2 linked regions of the Astyanax mexicanus genome follow. The protein of the gene in region 1 interacts with the protein of each later gene in a biochemical or structural test. Links are inferred from orthologs where the notes say so. Each region holds a gene or a part of one and is shown on either strand. Other genes may lie near its edges.

What was found. The genes of interacting proteins can lie anywhere in the genome.
Region 2: the proteins of lrrk2 (region 1) and pak6b form a complex in vitro, tested with the Homo sapiens proteins (2 studies listed by BioGRID). The link is inferred for Astyanax mexicanus from reciprocal best matches to the Homo sapiens genes LRRK2 and PAK6.

The regions. Positions count from the first base shown.
Region 1 is NC_064409.1:58,635,882-58,646,405, forward strand, and holds the start of lrrk2 (leucine-rich repeat serine/threonine-protein kinase 2), read right to left. Parts: upstream 4,094-10,524; 5' UTR 3,817-4,093; coding exon 3,678-3,816; intron 3,420-3,677; coding exon 3,337-3,419; intron 2,400-3,336; coding exon 2,290-2,399; intron 1,670-2,289; coding exon 1,581-1,669; intron 1-1,580. Other genes in the region: slc2a13b (solute carrier family 2 member 13b), read left to right, coding at 6,296-6,803, 7,531-7,690, 8,751-8,956, 9,696-9,804. UniProt on the Homo sapiens protein: Serine/threonine-protein kinase which phosphorylates a broad range of proteins involved in multiple processes such as neuronal plasticity, innate immunity, autophagy, and vesicle trafficking.
Region 2 is NC_064408.1:74,341,520-74,352,246, forward strand, and holds the start of pak6b (serine/threonine-protein kinase PAK 6b), read right to left. Parts: upstream 3,857-10,727; 5' UTR 3,727-3,856; coding exon 3,448-3,726; intron 1-3,447. UniProt on the Homo sapiens protein: Serine/threonine protein kinase that plays a role in the regulation of gene transcription. The kinase activity is induced by various effectors including AR or MAP2K6/MAPKK6.

The DNA.
Region 1 (10,524 bases):
TACCTCACATGAGTACTAAAATTGCTCCTTCCCCAACACAGAAGTAATTGTAATGAAAATGAAAGGTAATGAAAATGAAAATATCAGGAGAGAGAAAGTGCTAAATATTTCTGATTGTCTTTTGCAGACCCTAAAATTGACCACCACTGCTACAATTAACTGACATAAATGAAATACACTACTAACAAAATGATTGAATAATTAAATAACCTAGTCAATGTGACTAGTATGATCAGTTTGTTTTTAGCAAAAGACAAATTCACACTGTTCTTATTTCCCATTATATATCTACTAGAGACAGATTATATCTGTGCAGTATCATTTATTTTACTTATCCTGGATATATAAAGATATTTGAGTGCATTATTAGCATCATGATATTCTGTATCACTGACTTCTGTTACAAATCTGATAAAATTCTTGATTTTTTTTCTTGATCTCTGGTAGCGGTTTGCCTAAATTGAATTTTCATTTTGTTGCAGTAGTGTATTCCTCAAATATATATATGTTTTAATTTAGTGTTTTATTATGTTCATAGTATCTTTATCATTAAAATACCTGAAATATTGTGAAATTATATTAGGGCAATATTACCCACCCCTAGTGACAAGCCCTGATTATTCCAATTAAGTGTGGTACTTTTTGAGTAAAAATTAGTATTCTGAAAATCTTGGGGGTAGTGCTGGCGCAAGATTTCAAATGGGGTGAGGGGCGGGGTGCACTTTGAAGAGGGTAAGGGCACTAAGACCCAAACGGGCAGGTGCTCAAGCACCAATTTTACTTGATTTGAATCTCATTAAGAGCCTATCAAATGTATACTGATTAAAAAGTTAATGTTGAACTAAAGACAAAAGTGTTCCTTGACATAACAACAACAATTGTGAAAAGATTTTTGGCACTTTTTACAACCAACATGCTTGCTCTACAGAGAACCATATTCACAAATATAACCACTTACATATTTGGTTCTATCTAAAACCCCTGCCCTGAAACTGCCACGTTATGTGTTGACTGTTAATGGAGTTTTAATTATGGAAACAGAATTACGTTTAGGCTTACACACAGCACTCATTATACTAACACACTGTCTACTATCACACACTCATTTGTTTTGTGTGTGATATTAAGTTAATGCAGTGCATTAAAAGCAGCTTACATAAGGAAGTACCGATTTACAGTAATGTAGCCTGCCTGGGTGTTTGCTGTAGAAGACAAGCAGCTGAACCTGATTAAGTAGGGCAGTGGTACAGCAAACTTGGTGCAGCATGGTGCAGCATGACCCAGACTGAGACTGAATACAGAAGAGGCCGTACAGCTGCGCACTCATGATCAGCAGTAATAACCGCATATCTCTCCTTAGTGCCATAAATCTTCACTATAATATAACACACATCTATAAATAGCATATAGGGAGTCCATACAGTCTAGGAGGAACAGACTCCAGATAAACATCACTTATAATCTGTGATTGGCCCAATTTTCACTGTCCATAACAGTCTTCTCTGGAAATTTAAAAAATGCTGTGTAAAAAAAATAATAAGTGAACAATTAGTAAAACAGACTGATTAGAACAGGCTTACCTGACTTTAACAGCAAGGCTAGAACCCGCAGTCCTATCATTACCACTTTACAGTCTTCATTATGCACGAACAGCACCTTCAGAATTTGCCTGGATTTGCAAATGCGCACACACACACACAAAAGCCAGCATTCAGAAACACACTGGGAGCATATCATAAACACTGTTTTTCAGCTTAACCTGTTTTTCAGACTTTCTTACTGGGGCAATGGACAGGCATTACATACCTGAAGTTAAAATAAGGCTACTTTCACTTTCAGTTATATTATTTTTCTTTCCCAGCTCTTATCAGTCAACTCCCTAAAATGTTTCTGGCTCCGTCATAAATATCTAGGGACAGGTATGTATTGACACTCTACTGTACCTTTGCATAGGGTGGGAGATATGGGAGGATAAGGTTACAACACAATGCAACATCACAAGACGTTTTCACAATACAAAATATTTTTTGCAATAGTCTGACATGTAGACAAAATATACCACTAGCAGCAGATACTTATTTAAAACTGATATCTCAATAATGTCCTGTACTTAACACTGCAATGTCTTAGACTGTACTCCATCCAAACAAGAATTAGAATAATCATACTGTTTGTACACCCTTAAATTAGGATGATTAACTTTGAGCCCATTCTTTCTTTGCTGCTTATATGTTTATTAATATTACAAGCATCACTGCACTGCAAATAAACAGCCAGTTTCATACTTACTGGTGGACACCTAAAACTTCCCAGCTACTCCCAGCTCCCAGCGGCCTGACCAGCTTGTCTAGAGTGGCAGGGCAGATCTCCATCAGACGACACAGTAGAGACCATCCCACCTGCGTTAAAGGAGGCAAGGGTCCATCAATACGTTGCTTTATGTATATGGCTGACATAGTATATATATATATAGTATCAGTCAAACATTTGGGCACACTTTCTCATACAATGTTTTACGTTATTTATTTATTTTCTTTATTTATTTTCTACATTGTAGATTTATATTAAAGACTTTAAAATTAAATGTCTTTGGTCTCCACAATCCTCTGATCTAAACCAAACTGAGATGAGTGATTTGGGATTAAAAGCAGCAACTATTGTTCAGCACCTCCAGGAACTCCTTCAAGTCGCTGAAAAAACTACAGCTCTGAAAAAATAAATAAGAGACCACTTAAAATGATGAGTTTCTTTGATTTTACCAAATTAAAAACCTCTGGAATATAAGCAGGAGGAAGATGGATGATCACAAGCCATCAAACCAAGGTGAACTGCTTGAATTTTTGCATCAGGAGTGGCATAAAGCAGTGTGTAAGACTGGTGGAGTAGAACATGCCAAGATGCATGAAAATTATGATTAAAAACCAGGGTTATTGCACCAAATATTGATTTTTGAACTCTTAAAACGTTATTAATATTAAGACTTTAATATTTTGCATAATTTGAGGTGCATGTTTTTTGTTATTTTGACCATTTCTCATTTTCTGCAAATAAATGCTCTAAATTACAATATGTTTATTTTGAATCTGGGAGAAATGTTTATAGAATGAAACAACAACGTTCGTTTTACTCAAATATATACCTGCAAATAGCAAAATCAGAAAAACTGATTTAGAAACTGAAGTGGTCTCTTAATTTTTGGTCAGAGCTGTATTTCAGGTGACTATCTCTGAGATATAAATACCAGTGTGTGCAAATCGATCCTCAAAGCTAAATGTGGTAGATGTGTGTCAAAATATTTGTTTATTTTATGTAATGCAGTGTAGAAGTGATTCTTACCTGTTGAACTTTGCTGTTGCTGTAGGTTGATAACACCAGCATCAGTGGCTCATGGACATTTTTGTCCTCAAATAGCTCTGCAGCTGAACACCAGAAGGGAGAGAGGGGCTTACATTTCCAAAAATATCCCCCCAAGTGACAGAAGCTCATTCAAATATAGCCCAGCCTGTGTGTGTACTGACTACTGACTACAGCCTGCTGCAACAATAACAACACTCAGAGAGAATTGACCAGTTAATAGACTACACTCCAACACAAATGACCTAGCTAAACTAGCTAAATCCCCAGCATGCATGTTTATTTACACTGGCCATAGCTTGCTAGCTGGCTAATGATCTTACCATATTCCTCTGTGTGAGCGAGGAACAGCAGGTCCTGCATGATCTGGACCATGGTGCCCAGCTGCTTGCCCTCCTCCAGGTTCTTCAGCCTCACTAACAGCTTCTTCACGCTTTCCTCCAGGTCCTGTTTGTTCACCATGGTGCTGGTTACAGTGCTGGCCCTCGGCTGGCACTAAACACATGTGTAAAACCTTTCCACTGGCACATTAAACACAGTGTAAATACAGCGAGCGCCACCACTGCGCAGCACAGCCCGCTTTTCTCCAACACCAGACACGTGAGGAAACTTCACTGAGCGTCTCTACCGCCGCCGCTGGACTCTCTAACTCTGTGAAATAGTGGAAACATGCTTAGTTCCCCTTCTGCTCCACGCCGTGTGAGGAAAGCATGCCCGTCTCTTTAGCGGTCTCTCCTCGGCTGTAGTCCTCAGGCGGGACTGGCCGCAGTAATAAGCGACCTGTGAGTCATATGACTGGAGGAGCAACTTTCAAACAGGAAGAAGCTTCAGCAGCAGGAGCAAGAGGGGGAACTGCACAGACTACTCCTCCAACACCAAGACCTGTAACTAATAGAAGATTTACTGCGAGAGGTGAGTTAATCTAACAGCTAAATATAAATATAGGTGTTTATAGCTAGTCAGCTGTTTAGGTTGTATTTTTTTTATTGAAAAAATTGTGCCGGTGTCCTGACGAGTTGTGCTTACTCCGCAAATCGTGCTACCACAGAGTATATTTGGACGTAAAGCTAGCTTAACTAAACAGGAGATTTGCTATTTCGATAGGCTAAAAGCACCACGTCAGAAATACTGTATAACGCAGCTATAATGCACCCCAGAAAACAGAATTATGATTTTTTTAAAAATCACACGAAACATACTAAACTTGAGTCCGCGCATGCGCAATGCAGCCAAGTAGCACAAACTGATGGGTAGCGTAACTCGGCAGAACACGCTGGTTTCGGGCTTGTGTTTTCTGAACACAGAAACCAAACCTTTGAGATTTATTTGTCCAGAAATGTAATGTGTCTTTCAAAACGACAAAAATAAGTTTATTTTAAGAATGTCACACAGATTAAAATATGTAAAATTGCAGAACGCCCATTAGTTAATGTAAGAAAATATATCTTATAATATTATTTCTATTTGTTTGTATGTTTTCTAAAATAATTTAGCCTATCGCGTATTTCTTAAACTGAGCTATTCCATGTCAGACCACACCCATTGCTCGACGTCATATTTATGGTCTCGTCCCCACGGCGTGGCGCTATTACACTGTATTATGACCGTATATTAAGTAAGGGAAAACCTGAAAAATACTTGATGCAGTATCAAGCAACTGAATTGGACTTATTCAGCTCAAATAGATACTCTGAATTAAATAATGATTAAGACAAATATTTATTTGATTTATTAAATATTTATTCAGTTTATTTAATTGTAACCTTAAAACTACTTTTTGCAGTGTAGTTAACACAAGCCTGTTGGAGCGAGTTGTATATGTGACTCCACAATTTGTTGTTTTAAAATGTAACTAAAGAGAGCATAATTCAATGTTGTCAGTTTGGAAGATCTGTGCTAAATTTTGTCTGCAATCATGTATCGCAATCAATGTAAGGTTTTATAAAAATATATATATTTTTTTACTTTTATCAACCAACCATAGATTTGGTAAATTACATTTAATCTAATTTCCTAAGGCTAGGACTAGATGTGTTTTCACATCAATATATTAAAATTAAGTTACACTATCCTAACAAAGCTGTACAGTAGATCTTCCACACAGATCGCCTGTATTTTAAACCTTTCAGACCTTAATTTCCAGTGATGGAAAACTGAAAGAATACTGTTTTTTTGTCTGTAATGCACAGAAAAGAAGACTCTAATATTCTACTATAAAATCTATAAAGCAAATAAATTAAATTAACTAAAATATTTAATAAATTATAAATTATTATTTTTTATTTACATTTCATTTTCATTGTTTGTAATATTTTTTTATTCTTATTGATCTTTTTATTTCATAAACCATCCCTAAACAGTTTTTTTTTCCAGTGTTTTTGCTGTGGATGGGTCCAAGTTACTGTTTCGTTGCTTTATAAACTTGATCATTGGCTGGTTTCTTGTCTGTTCTGATGAAAAGCATCTCTCAATTAATGTTATGTGCAACAAAACATTTAAAAATGAAAGCAAATATATTATGTCCATTGTAATGGATGCAGTGTCTGAAAGAGTTGAAAAGACTCAGGAAGAAGCTAATTCGAGTGACTATTAGGATTTTTTTTAAAACTGGGGTATGTGTGGGAAAGGGTTTCAGTCATGCTACGTAGATTTTAATTTGAGTGTTTGATTTTTTTTTTAATGTGAAAATCAGCATTCCTGTCTTTACACGCCCATTAATTGGCGTCATACTCGTGACCACGCCCCCACTGCGTGGCGAGAGAGTAGTGCGCATGTTGAGTTGTGCTCCACGTTTCGATGTTTACGTTTTGTATAAGCTGCTGAATTTCAGTCTGTATGTCAGTGTCTCTGGAGTTTAGTGGGGTTTAGAGTTTTAATCTGTGCACACTTCCTCACCTCGCGGTCTCGCGTTGTCGGCTCGCTGGGTGCTTGTTTTAAATGGATGTCTGTGCTTCTCTGTGATTTGGAGGAGGATGGTGGTGTGGAGCTGTGGATCATGGAGGAGGAGGTGATGAGCGCTGGGAGGGGGATGGAGGAAGAGCGCAGTCTGATCACCGCTCCGTCCATCAACACCCGACCCTCTAACTCTGCTGCTGCTGCTGCTGGGGGAGGTTCTGATGGCTCCGCCAGGTTCGTCTACCTCCTGGCCTTCTTCTCGGCGCTGGGAGGATTCCTGTTCGGCTACGACACCGGGGTGGTGTCTGGAGCCATGCTGCTGCTGAAGAAGGAGCTGAAGCTGAGCGCACTGTGGCAGGAGCTGCTGGTCTCCAGCACGGTGGGGGCGGCGGCGGTCGCGGCCCTGGCTGGGGGTTTTCTGAACGGAGCGCTGGGGCGTAGACTGTGCATTCTGCTGGCCAGCTTCATCTTCTCAGTCGGGGGCGTGGTTCTGAGTCTGTCACCCAATAAAGAGGTCCTTCTTGTTGGGCGACTCATCGTTGGGCTTGGCATAGGTAAGTCCCAGATAAATAACACAATATATATATATAGACGTGGTTTATAGAAAGTACTTTCATCCCTACCTTGCTCTGGACTAAAACAGCTGGTCTTAAATGAATAATACGATCCATTTTTTTGCAGTTTGAAAGGACTTTTTAGTTGGTTTGTACTTTCTGACCAGTTACAAGAAGTAAAAAAGTGGTGATGGTGGCAAAAAAAAAATTAACTGAAGGTAGATGGCAGAAGCTGGAGGCTGGATGGTGAGCAGCTGATCTGTGGTGCGTGACAAAAGAGCCTAAAGGACAAATCCCCATCAGTGTTATGCAGCACAGGTTGGACAGGTTTACGTCACATGTTGGGTCTCAACATGTGCAAATTCGATTGCATTCTGCCACAAGAACATAACTGTTATTACTGTTATTGGTATACAATTATTATTTCTGGATTAAAAGTTCCACCTTTATTTTCCTGTTCACTGCAGAGAACACAGCTTCACTGCTCTGTACACCAATTCTGATGGGCATTATGCTCTTTTAGCCCATTCTTGGTATTGGGCATTGTCACAATTTATGTTTCTCTAGAACATCTAAATCTAAAAGCAGTGAATTCCTGTGCAAGTCATTTTTACTATTTAGAAGCCTGGATTCTTTTGGAGATTGATGTAGTAGACATTTAATTTATTTATGTAGACCTACTGTCTTAAAATTCAGTTTAAAAGTATATACTGTTTTATTTCCACAGGTATAGCTTCTATGACAGTGCCTGTGTACATTGCTGAGGTCTCTCCTTCTCACCTCAGAGGTCAACTTGTCACCATAAACACCCTCTTTATCACCGGCGGTCAGTTTATAGCCAGTGTGGTGGATGGGGCTTTCAGTTACTTGAGCCATGGAGGATGGAGGTATGTACATGAGTAGGCTTATATATATTTTTTTCATTTGTTTTGCTGTTTTGATTTATATAAAAAATAGATTAATTACACCCTTGTTAACAATGTAGTAAACATGCTTATATGAGTAGCCAAAGTGGGAACTAGAAAGTTTTTTTCACATACAGCTCTGGAAAAAATAAGAGACCACTTAAAAATTATGAGTTTCTTTGATTTTACCAAACTGAAAACCTTTGGAATGTAATCAAGAGCAAGATGGATGGATCACAAACCAAGCTTAACTGCTTGAATTTTTGCACCAGGAATGGCATAAAGTTATCCAAATCATTGTGTAAGACTGGTGGAGAAGAACATGCCAAGATGCATAAAATTTTGTGATTAAAAACCAGGGTTATTCCACCAAATATTGATTTCTGAACTTCTAAAACTTTATCAATATGAACTTGTTTTCTTTGCATTATTTGAGGTCTGAAAGCTCTGCATCTTTTTAGTTTTTTCAGCCATTTCTCATTTTCTGCAAATAAATGCTCTAAATGACGATATTCTTTTTTTGATATTTGGGAGAAATTTTGTCTGTAGTTTATAGAATAAAACAACAATCTTCATTTTACTAAAAACGTGTACCTATAAATATAAAAATCAGAGAAACTGAAGTGGTCTCTTATTTTTTTTCAAGAGCTGTATGTATGTCAGTAATGGGCTACATCAGAACAAAGATGGAGAAAGAATAAACATGTGCCCCATCTGGGTTGTACACTGCATATGGGGCCTAGATAGGATCCACATGAGACTTAGGCAGACTGTCATTATGGGGCCCATTTAGGAAGCCCAACCCGGTCCCAGTAACAACACATTTACAAACCCACTCAGAGCCACATGGATCTCGCCTAGCCATTGTTCTACACATGTGAACAACATAGCAGCATGTTAGCTGGAACAGTAAGATTACATTGTAAATGTATTACATTTAAAATGTGAGGAAATAACACAACAAAAACAAATAAAAAAGGAAAGATCATGACATTTCTGACCTATGATATGATTGTGTACATTTTATTGGGGGTTTCTGTAGGTATATGCTGGGTTTATCAGCAGTCCCTGCTGTGCTGCAGTTCATAGGCTTCCTCTTCCTGCCTGAGAGTCCTCGCTGGCTCCTGCAGAAGGGTCGGTCTCAGCAGGCCCGTGAGGTGCTCACACACATCAGGGCCACGGAGAATGTGGATGAGGAGTTCAACAACATCAAGAACATCATCGAAGAAGAGGAAAAAGAGTCTGGAGGTGAGCCAACTGCTGTTTGGCAAGGTTTTGGATTCAGATAGAGAGTGCTTTCATACCTAACTTGCTCTGGACTAAAACAGCCTGTCTAAAACAATTTGTTTGCAGTTTAAGAAAACGCTTTTTAGATGGTTTTAACTTTTTGACCAGTTACAAGGTGTTAAGCCAGGCTGTCATCACCCATTCTACAATAGAGGATAAAACAAAATCAATGTTGTGGCTCCCTTTACATATGTCACACAGCAGTATAAGCGCAAATGATTATGCTTGTGACTTCTGTATCTGCTGTAACTGTAGATTATCCTTATTTATGAACAGAAAACAAAGATGTATTCTGTTGCACTCATTCTGATGTATGATGCAGATACACACAAAGAAAAATTAATTCAGACAGGGAGATTTGATAAGGTACAGCCCCTGAAAAAGCAACACACAAAACTAACAACATTCTACAAACCATTCATTTTCCGGTATAGGTAGATGTAGCTCTTGTAGGTGTTTGGGACATGATACTTTTTTTTGTATTTTCTAAACTGTAGTGTGAAAACAAAATTAACCAGACCAAATTAAATATACATTGAAGCACATTAACCTTAAACTATGATTCCAATAAATGCCGCAAGTTTACTAGAATGTGTAAAAAAGTGTTAATCCTATACACATGAGAAAATACCTGCTTATTTTTGGAAATTATATACAGATAACTTTAATGATGCCATGACATTTATTGGCTGTTTGACAGGGGGTCTGGTCCTGTGGCGTATCCTGACTTCTGCACCTGCCCGGAGAGCTCTCGTCGTGGGCTGTGGCCTTCAGATGTTCCAGCAGCTTTCAGGGATTAACACTGTAATGTAAGACACTCATTGACTGAACACACTGCTCATGTGGGTGGACAGTCTACAGAAGACAATGAGTGCTCTGTGTTTTAACTCAACACGAAATAGTTTGCTACAGTGAAAATGTTACTGAAGTAAGCATGGGCACCTTGTCTTCAGTAGATAGTTTTTATGTTGCTCTAAAAATGGGCCGGGCCTTTTTTCTTGTTTAAAAAAATAATCGTATTGTGTACACTGTGGAAACGCAAATATGTTCACATGCTTTAAACATACTTTGCTTTATTTGCTCTCTCAGCAATGATCTCCTCAAGGTATAATCTTTTGGATTATACGGCACACCTAAAACCCTTGAATATAATCCACTGCATAAATATACAGGAATTGGGGGAGACAGGAAAAAGTTCAGGTCTGAAAATGAATGAAAAAAGAATGGTGATTATGTGTTTGAAATATCATGTATTTAGTGTATTTACTAAATGTTAAATTGTTAGTAGTTACTATAGTTTTACACATTTTAATTATTAGCATGTAGAAATTATTTTTAATTTTGTGCTAAAAACTCAATTTGTCCCTAATTTCGTCGGCAAAAACAATTAGAAAGTTGTAAAATACAGAATTGTAAAATACATCTGACAGATCTTTGATTTTAAAAGTTAGCCCAGTGTGTCCTCTATGCAATCATGAATTGGTTAGCATTTTTATATGTTTAGTAAATAAATCTTGGTCAAAAGTTGT
Region 2 (10,727 bases), on another chromosome or scaffold:
TGTGTGTCTTTTTTCACTCTCCAATCAAAGTATCGGATAGGAGGGATCTGAGGTGTTTGGCTTACATATTTGAAATATGTAAGCCAATTTTATGTGTAACATGGCCAATCCAAAATCTTGTTCTGTGTGTAGGTTATGACCACTGTACTTACCCACAAGAAATCTAAACACACACACAGCTCCAACAGAACCAACAGAAACATTTTAATAGTTAATTATTCCAACATATGTTCATATCTAGTGGGTGTGGTGTGTAAATATTATGGCATCATGTAATTAAACAGGTTTATCAAGAATGGGCTTTTGGTTGTATCCCTATTGCAATGCTGATGATTCATAATGGAATTAAATAAAGGATTAGCAGATTTGGAGGAATTTATCTTTATTACCATTGAGAAAGTATGAGCGCAAGCCAAATAAATACAGTAATGAAATAAAATGATACTGATATGATTTGTTATCCATCCATCCACCTTCATTTCCTCCAAACTATCAACACATCAACACTTTAAGCTGCTCTTTCTCAGTCTTTCTCCGTCTTTCACACACACTCGGACACACACGCATATATGCACAGACACACATTATATGAAGCTACAGGAGCGTTTATTTTCTCTATTAAACTCACTCAGTTAACTTGGGACATTAAAATATTCTCATTTAAAAAGCATCAAAACTACCCGGAGATATAATATTGGAACCACTTTAAAATAAGACTACCTTTATAAAGGGTTTATAAATGGTTTACAATTAGTTTATTAATGGTTACTAATTAGGTTGTAAATGCCTTAAGAATCATTAATAATCAATTATAACACATACGTAGAAAGGGCGACTATGACCTGTTGTTTGTCAAATAGTGAACCCACAGCCATCTATATTGTTGCCCTTTCTATGTATGTGTTATAACTGATTATTAATGATTTGTAAGGCATTTACAGCCTAATTAGTAACCATTAATAAACTCATTGTAAACCATTTATAAACCCTTTATAAAGGTAGTCTTATTTTAAAGTGGTACCATAATATTTAATATACAGCAAACAAAGCTGTAGTCTGCCAGACCTAAACCACACTACACTATTATTACACTATACTGTCGCAATAACAAACATACAATACAAATAATAACAAATATTATTAAATATTATCTTGGATGTGTTCTTTTTTCTGTATTGTCAAAGTATCGGATCGGGACTCGGTATCAGCAGATACTGAAAAACAAATGACTCATACTCGGGCAAAAAAAACTTTATCCCTAGTTATTCTTTTTAGATTTAAAATTAAATTGTATTTAGAATATTTTTTACTTTTTATTAATTCGTTTTTAAATGATTTTAACTGCAAGGCTGACACCTGAAAGCATGAGCTTGTTCAGGAAATATAACAGAGAGGTCTGGGCCATGTGTCAAAACAATGCTATCTGATCTCCCAGTGAACTTCAGCTATGTGTGTGTTGAGACCAGATTTCATTTAAGCAAGGAGGAAAGCGAACTTGTCCTTCAGGTTCTCTTGTTCATTCTGTCTAAGAAAAGACTTCACTCTGCATATTCATTTTCAGTCCTAATTGTTCATTTCTCATGGCTATTGTGAAGATTTTGTGTGAGTGTTTCCAAAGGTAGTGTTTAAGGTACTACATGTACAAATGTTTGTTGACACCCTAAATAGACACAACAAATACATTCAGTTGGACCTATTGCTCACACAGATGTGTAAATGCACACACTCAACATTAGTAGTCCCTGTAGTCTGGAGCAAAGAAACAAAATAAAGCACTGCTGTATTGAGCTGTGGAGCAGTGGAGCTGTGTTCTCTAGTAGTATGGTTTTCAATCCAAATACTTTAGGGATAAGGCAGTAATAAGCATGGGTGTGATCATACCAACATCCTGATTTCACTAACATGCTTGTCAATAAATGCAATCAAATCATCACAGCAACGCTACAGCAAATCCTCAGAAGAATTGCTATACAATAAGCTAGGTAAAGTGTAATATATCCATTCACTTCAAATGTAATTCTGAAGTATTTCACAGAATGAGGGATTTTGTTACATATGTTAAATAATTACTACTTACAAAAGGACTGATAATCACAGAAAAGCTCAGAAGAGGAGGTGACAGACCAAGTTGCATAACAACACCTACCACACTTTGTTCTGAGACTAACACCACATGTCCAAAAGTATCCCCCATCCCATATATTTAGGAAAAACAACTAGTTAAAGGTGCACCCATTGCTGACACAGGTGCTCTACACACACTCATCTCCATAGAACACCATTACGAATTGAATGTGACTCTCTAAAGCAGCTGTACATGAACCCAAAACCACCAGGTTGAAAAATGTCAGCTAGCCCCTGTATTGAGCTGTGAAGTTCTATTCAACTCTTTGGTGATGTTTGTGATCTAGAACTAATCACCAATCATCAGTACCTGACCTCACTAATGTTCCTCTGTCTGACTGCAATCAAATCCTCACAACATCTAGTGTAAAGTCTTCCTAAAAGAGTAAAGGCTGTTATTATAGAAAAAAATATGATTTTGGAAGAAATGTATGGGTATGGCTAATTAGGTGTGACACATTTAATTTTACAAATATAATTTTGGTAAGAGACATGCTTACATATATTCTATTATTTAACTTAATCAAATGATCTTTATGGACAATCTCCGAACACAAACCTGTGCAAACAGTTTCACAAATGTCAATTACATAATTATAATAATCACAACAGTATTCTGTGATCATGACAATCTGAATCATCTGAATCTGACCTCTGTTACAAATCTAATAAAATTCTTGTATTTTTTAATATCTCAGGGGTGAGCCAAATAATATCATATGCAATAGTAAAATTTAATTTTCATTTTGTTGCAGTAGTGTATTCTTGAAATAAAATACATATACTACCAGTCATATATGTACTAGCATACAAAAGTTTGGACTCATCTTCTTATTTAATGTTTTCTTTATTTCTATGTTTAATTTATTTAAAATACTGAATTATGTAGTAAACAAATGTTTTTGGCTTCACAATCTCCTGACCTAAACCCAAATGAGATGGTGAGTTGAGGTGATTTGGGATGAACTGGAGCTTCACAGTGTGAAGGAAAAGCAGTAACTATTGTTCAGCACCTCCAGGAACTCCTTTAAGATGCTGAGAAAACTATTCCAGATGACTCTCTCTCATGAAGACACTGAAAAAAGTGTGCTGATCTTTCACTTAAAAGAATCTAAAGTATAAAACATATTCTGGTTTGTTTAACACACAACTAATTCCACATACATGTGTTCCTGTATAGCTTTAAAGTCTTCAATATTATATCTACAATGTAAAAATCATAAAAAGAAAGAAAACACATTAAATAAGGTGAAAAGATGTGTCCAAACTTTTGACTAGTACTGTATATACATACATATATATTGTTTTTTTTTTTTGCTTTACCTTCTCTGCTTTGAGTCGCACAGGAGTGACCCTGGATGGATCCACCACAGGCTTGGGTCTCCTCAGTGTTTCTATTACACTTTGCCATTGCGGTGGAAGTCCTACGTAGCAGCCTCTGGCAGGATCAAAAGACGTGTGCACCCGGTGCTCAAAGTTCTTGGGCGCAGAAATCTCTATCTTCCTCTTCTTCTTCTTCCTCTGGAACATCCTGAGGGCCTGGGGGAAACAGCAGTGCAGTGTATTATGGTGGGACATCTTCATCTTCTCCAACCAAGCCATGAGAACACGGCCTTAACGCAGTAAAATCCCACAACCCCTGAGGACTAACAACACAGTCAGCACTTCCTTTCAAAACAAAGGAGGAGAAAAAAATCTGATGATTTCAGTCGGCTGAACACCACAAAACAAACCACACCACTCAGGTATATCTGAGTACACACACACTCTAGGGGGTGGGGAGAATTCCACCACCACACAGTCAGCAGAAGACACACCCCTTTCATGTGCAAAGAGACAAAACTACTGTGAATCTGAGTGAGCACTTAGCTTATCACTATAATCATCAGGCACGCTCTCTTCCCACAATAAATGACACGTCCTCAACATAATATATATTACAGCCTGGGGATCTCAACTGCTTAAAAGCTATTAGTCAAGGAACAATAATGCAAATATGTGATATATTCAAGCTCTAGCTCTATATATTCATCTAATCTAATTAAATGGATAATCTTCTAGCACAAATGTGTTTAAACACTTTTACAAAAACGTATTAGGTAATTATATTCAAATACTATTTATAATAAAAATCAACACAGTAATATTACATAATTATCTGTGATTGATTAAACTTTTTTTGATTTTTTTATGGCTTAGCAATAATGGATATTTAAATTAACATAAAAGAATTAATGTATTGCTGGCAAGATGATTACGAATGCAAGGATTAAAATAATTAAATTAATCAAACAATATTGTGTGACTAATAACTATTGTTTACACTTTTTTCTTTTAAAGACTTACACTTTTAATAGCAGACATCTAAATGTAAATAATAAATAAAAAATAATTAATGTAATAATGCAAATAGAAATTAAATTAATATTTGTGTTGTACAACAACTAAAATAATCAGATTAATCACATATATTATACTGTGATTAATTACAATGTATTACTTTTCTTCTTTCTTCTTAATAGTTACATTTTTAATAGTGGATATCAATTTAATGTAAGAAATATAAAAAATAAGAATGAATGTAAGATTGGCAAAATTTTCATAATATTCATAATAATGGTGTCAATTAAGCTAACAAATATAACGTACAATGTTTCTATCTGTCTAGATTCACATCTTTTAACCATCTCCAGCACTAAAACTGTTCTGGCTGAATGAGTGTGTGGTCTTGTGATGCTCTACAGCTAAAGAATCAGTGCACATTTGATCAGTTCAGTGAGGCTGTGTTTATTGAACAGAGCAGGTCGAGTAAGCACACGTTGCCTGCCCTCATTTCCCTCATGCTGGAGCAGTCTATCACTGATGGAACAATTAGACCTGCCATGACCACAGACGGACGCCCACAATCACAGGCATTGTCCTCTGTGTGGAAGTGCGGAATCAATCACCCACCACAAGACTGAGCTCAGTTGTATTGTCAACCTATTTGTGTCCAAATTATCTGTTCATTTATTCACAGTGATTTACTACTGAAGCCCAATTACTAAACAGAATTCATTTTATCCTCTCTCTTTTATCTTCTATCTATACTTCGCCTTTGTACAACTGCATTACTGCATTTGCAAAGCTTTACAAAAGAGGGATACAAATGTTTTCATGTAGTTAAACAGGTTCATGTTTTGATTTTGAAGTTTTGGTTTTGATTTCACACTCTGATAGTATCATCATCCAAAGCTTTCCACAGAAATCAGACATAACTATAACTATTTTGAAGTTTTGTACCACAGAATACCAGTGCAAGTGTTTGTGGTACGAAGAATATGTAAATAATGCAACGTCATCTAAAGTAAAGTGAGAATCATTTGGCATTGGGACATTGGAACAACATGTTGATACACTGTGTCCATACATGACTAACGTCTGTAGGCTGCATCCGTGTTTATTTAGGTCAATCAATATTTACTCACAAGTGAACATTAAACAGTGGGAAATAGACATTTGCAATAGAGCTGACATTAAGATAAGGGTTTATTACAGTTCAGAAGGTGATAGCTTATCACAATAGTTGATACAAAAATGATATTAGTCAGCAAAAAGAGAACATACATTATATATACAACACGGGAAAAAATTTAAAGACCACTTCAGTTTCTAAATCAGTTTCTTTGATTTTGCTATTTATAGGTATATGTTTGAGCAAAATGAACATTGTTGTTTTATTTTAAAAACTACGGACAACATTCAAATAAAATTTCAAATAAAAATATTTTCATTTAGAGCATTTATTTGCAGAAAATGAGAAATAGCTGAAATAACAAAATAGACGCAGAGTTTTTAGACCTCAAACAATGCAAAGAAAACAAGTTCATATTATAAAGTTTTAGAAGTTCAGAAATCAATATTTGGTGGAATAACCCTGTTTTTTAATCACAGTTTTTAGGCACCTTGGAATGTTCTCGTCCACCAGTCTTACACACTGCTTTTGGAGAACTTCAGCTTGGTTTGATGGCTTGTGATCATCCATCTTCCTCTTGATTATAATCCACAGATGTTTAATTTAGTAAAATTAAAGAAACTCATCATTTTTGTGTGATCCCTTATTTTTTTCCAGAGCTGTATAAAATAGATATAGTTTCTATGCAGTTAATTTCTAGATGTTAGAAGGACTAACCACATCCATTTTAACTTAATGAAAACAGATACGCTACATTCTGCAATTAATATGATGAGACCAATAGAATGCAATATGTCATTTATCACAGGGAGAGGGAAAAATCTGCAACTGTTTGAGAATACAGAAATTGTAAAAAAATAATTTTAATGATGAAAACATTTACTCCCACAACGTGCACTGAAGATTATAGATCAATTACCACACACTCCTGCCATATGGAAACATATTATATTTGACAGTTTTATGTAAAACGAATTACATCAAAACTTATAATTTACATTAACTTCCCACAGATGTAAAGACTTTTGTTTTTAAAAAAATACTGAACTACACCCACTTCAAAGGAGATTCAGAATATAAATGCAAAATTAATGCAAATACATGTTGCCACATGTCACCACCATACAGTAAATGCTTAAACAATGAATGAGGTCACAGCACTTTACCTGTGTATTTCGGTCACAGCTGAAATTCTAACGGTAGACGTCTCTTACAGTGATGAGACCCATCATCCTGCCTTTATGTCCATTTCAACGCAACCTGGAGATAAGAGTACACAGTAAAAATGTGTAAGGGGAGGAACTGCATGTCTGCACACTTTCCTTCATCTCTGTCTCTCACACTCTTTTCCAGTGTTTAATTAAAGGGAGTGGTGGAGCGGAGCACACACAAACAGCAGGATTTAATAAGACCTTGTTGAAGAGGATGTGCACATAGTCAGTGTGAAAAGAAGTTTAAGAGTCACTTCGATAGTCATAATGTTCTTTAAATAATGACATTTGGGGGGTTGCCTAGACTAATTGACCTGTCCACTAGCTGATCAGAAGATCCACTAGTCGCTGCAGTGAGCAGCTTTCAAGTAGTTGAAATGAAAAAGAAAAAAAACAGCAGCAGTTATATTTCTTTTGAACCAAGCTATATAATCATACGGTCATCATATAGTACAATGCACTAAATGTGAACATTTTCACAGAGATAAAAGGTCACAGTGTATCACTCATGAACAATCTATGAAGATCTTCTCACAATGTGAGAATGCTGAAAATGACCTTTAAAAAAGTGAGTCATTATATTTAACTGCACAAGAAAAATCATTCCTGTCACTTTTGTTCCATCCACTGAGAGAGGGGAGGTGTAAAGTAAAGTTCTGTGCTACTCTGTTAATGTATTTATTTACTTTATTTAAATGTGTAGCCTTAGAAGCACTAGCCTTAGCCTTAGAAGTGCTGGCTTAATTTAGAGTCTATGTTTGGCTGTTATTTAAAATCAGACATGTATAAAGTACTAGAGACCCAGACTTTAGTAAAACTACAATTGCTCTATCAAAAAAAGTGACTTGAGTAGAAGTTGAAGTGTTCTTTAAGCTCCACACTTAAGTCGAAGTACCAAAGTATTCAACAATTTTGTATTCAAGTATTGCAATTAGTTTATTCTAAAATTAATACTTAAGTACTGAATGTAAAAGAATAAGTATTGTGTAGTTATGTTGTTACAACAGAAAGCAGTGGAAAGTTCACTGCTCTGGCTTTAGTGATAATGTGAGTTTGGAATAAATTTTAACATTTTTATAATTGTAATAAGTAACAATGTAGCATATAAAAATGTATCAGAGTAAAAGTATTAAACTCATCCAAAATATACAGTGAAGTAAAAGCGGAAGTAGGAGAAAAAAAAAACTCCAATAGATACAGACATGGCATTTTAGTACTAGCATAAACAGGTGCATCCCAGAAAAATCTTATAGCACTTCATGCTTCCATCTGCTGAAAACTTTTATGGAGATGCGAATTTCATTTTCCAGCAGGACTTGGCACACTGCCCAAACTGCCAAAAGTACCAATTGGTCTTATATAATATTCTAATTTTCTAAGACACTAACTTTTGTGTTTTCATTGGCTGTAAGACATAATCATTAACAATAAAAGAAATAAAAACTTAAACTAAACAAAATTTACACAAATCCAACTTCATAAATTCCTGCTGAAACTAGTCAAAGCTGTGACCACTCCGTTGACACTTGCAATCTTTCAGCAGGATTTCCTTTATTTCCAGACTCTGTTAGCTGACATTACCACAGCTTTGCCTGTATATAAAAGAGCAGCATAATTTGATGAGTTAGTAAGATTAAATGGGGGAAAGATAGCAGGTGCTAGGCTTAAAGCTAACCATAGCTTGCAGAGACAGTATTTAAAGAAACCTATCGGTTCCCCTTGTGCTGCTACCTTGTCGTGGTGGGGAACCTTGCGTGTCTCTGTGACCCGGATAGCTATACCGGCGGGGGCTCTGCCCCTAGTAGGTTCAACCATGTCGGGCAGGTACTCCAGGTAGAGGCCAGACAAAAAACAGCACCTGGTCCTCCAGGTTGGGGGTTGTGCGCGGGGCCAACAACCCCACCACGTAAAAAAGAATACCGTTACGGAAACTTCTACGAAATGCAATACTATTAAGGATCTTACAGTAGACCCCAGCCAACCTATTGGCATTATGACCGTTCTTGATGAAAGCCTCCAACAGGAAGTCAGGAGCGCGATGGCTAGTCTACTGGGACCCAAAACCACGATCCGCTTGGGTGCATGGAATGTCCGTACCATGTTCGACACATCCAAAACAGCTCAGGTCACGAGTGAAATGAGAAGATACAGGCTGGACATCCTAGGAATAAGTGAATGCCGATGGACCGGCTCTGGACGCCAGGTGAGGAGCGATGGCACAGTTATCCTGCACTCTGGGCACCCCGATCAACACACACGCGGCGTGGCACTCATAGTTTCAAAAGAGAAGGTCAACACCCTGCTGGACTGGGAACCCCTCGGCGACAGGCTGATCAGAGCGCGCTTCAACTCCATGCACTGTAAGCTCACCATCATTCAGTGCTATGCATCAACCAATGAAGCAAATGAGGAGGAAAAAGACCAGTGGTATGAAAAGCTACAGCAGACAGTCTTTAAAGTTCCCCAACATGACATGTTAGTGATCATGGGTGACATCAATGCCAAAGTGGGAGCTGATAACACAGACTGTGAGAGAGACATGGGGAAGCACGGGTGCGGTGTGATGAACGATAATGGTGAGCGACTTGTTGACTTCTGCATGACCAATAACTACGTCATTGGTGGCACCATCTTTCCACACAAAACTATCCACAAACTCACATGGAAGTCACCTGATGGTTCCACCATCAACCAGATCGATCACATCCTGATGAACGGAAAGTGGCGCAGATCTCTTCAAGATGTTCGAGTTTACCGTAGAGCCGATGTGAACAGTGACCACTACCTTTTAACAGCCATCATCAAGCTGAAATTAAGGAAAGCGCAAAAGCGGAGTCAACATAGGAAACATCTTGACGTAGCCAAATTAAGATGCCCCAAGACCAACAAAGAGTTCTGCCTGGAACTGAAGAACAGCTTCAGTGTTCTCGCTAAATCTGTAGACGAAGACTTGAACACACAAGACAAGTGGGAGAACATCAAAAAGTCTTACGTAGGGGCAGCCACCAAAGTCCTGGGCTACAGAAAGAGAGGGAACAAAGAATGGCTAACACCTGGCACCTGGCAAAGAATTGAAGAAAGAAAACAGCTGAAAGCAAAGATGCTTAGCACAAAATCACCCAGGCTCCATGAGCAGGTCCAGAAAGCCTACAAGGATAAGGACAGAGAGGTAAAGAAGAGTGCAAGGAGTGACAAAAGGGCTTTTGTTGAGGACCTAGCAGAGAAAGCTGAGTGTGCAGCTGCACGGGGTGAGTTGAGCACAATTCATAAGATCACCAAGCAACTCTCGGGCAAGTACACCAGCCAGTCGGCCCCTGTTAAAGATAAACAAGGTAACATCCTCACCACTGAGAGTGATCAGATCCTGAGATGGGTTGAGCATTTCCGCGAGGTACTCAACTGCCCTGAGCCAGAGGATCCTGCTAACCCCTCACCAGCAGAACGTGTCTTTGACATCGAGACCACCCCCCAAGTAAGGAAGAGGTCAAACTTGCCATCAAAGCCTTGAAAAATGGGAAGGCCGCCGGCATAGACTCTGTTCATGCAGAAATGCTTAAAGCCGACCTTAATACCTCAGTCAATGTGCTTACTGATCTCTTTAAAGACATCTGGGAGAAGGAAGTAATACCCCAAGACTGGGACAAGGGCCTGATCGTCAAACTCCCCAAGAAAGGAAACCCCCAAAATTGTGACAACTGGAGGGGCATCACGCTGCTTTCAGTACCATCTAAGGTCTTCTGTAGGATTTTACTCGCAAGAATCGAGTCCGCTATTGATCAAGAGCTACGACAGGAACAAGCAGGGTTCAGGAGAGGAAGGGGTTGTATAGACCAGATCTTCGCTCTGAGGAACATCATCGAGCAGAGTGTAGAATGGAACACTCCCCTATACATCAACTTCATCGATTTCCGCAAAGCCTTTGACAGCCTACATCGTGA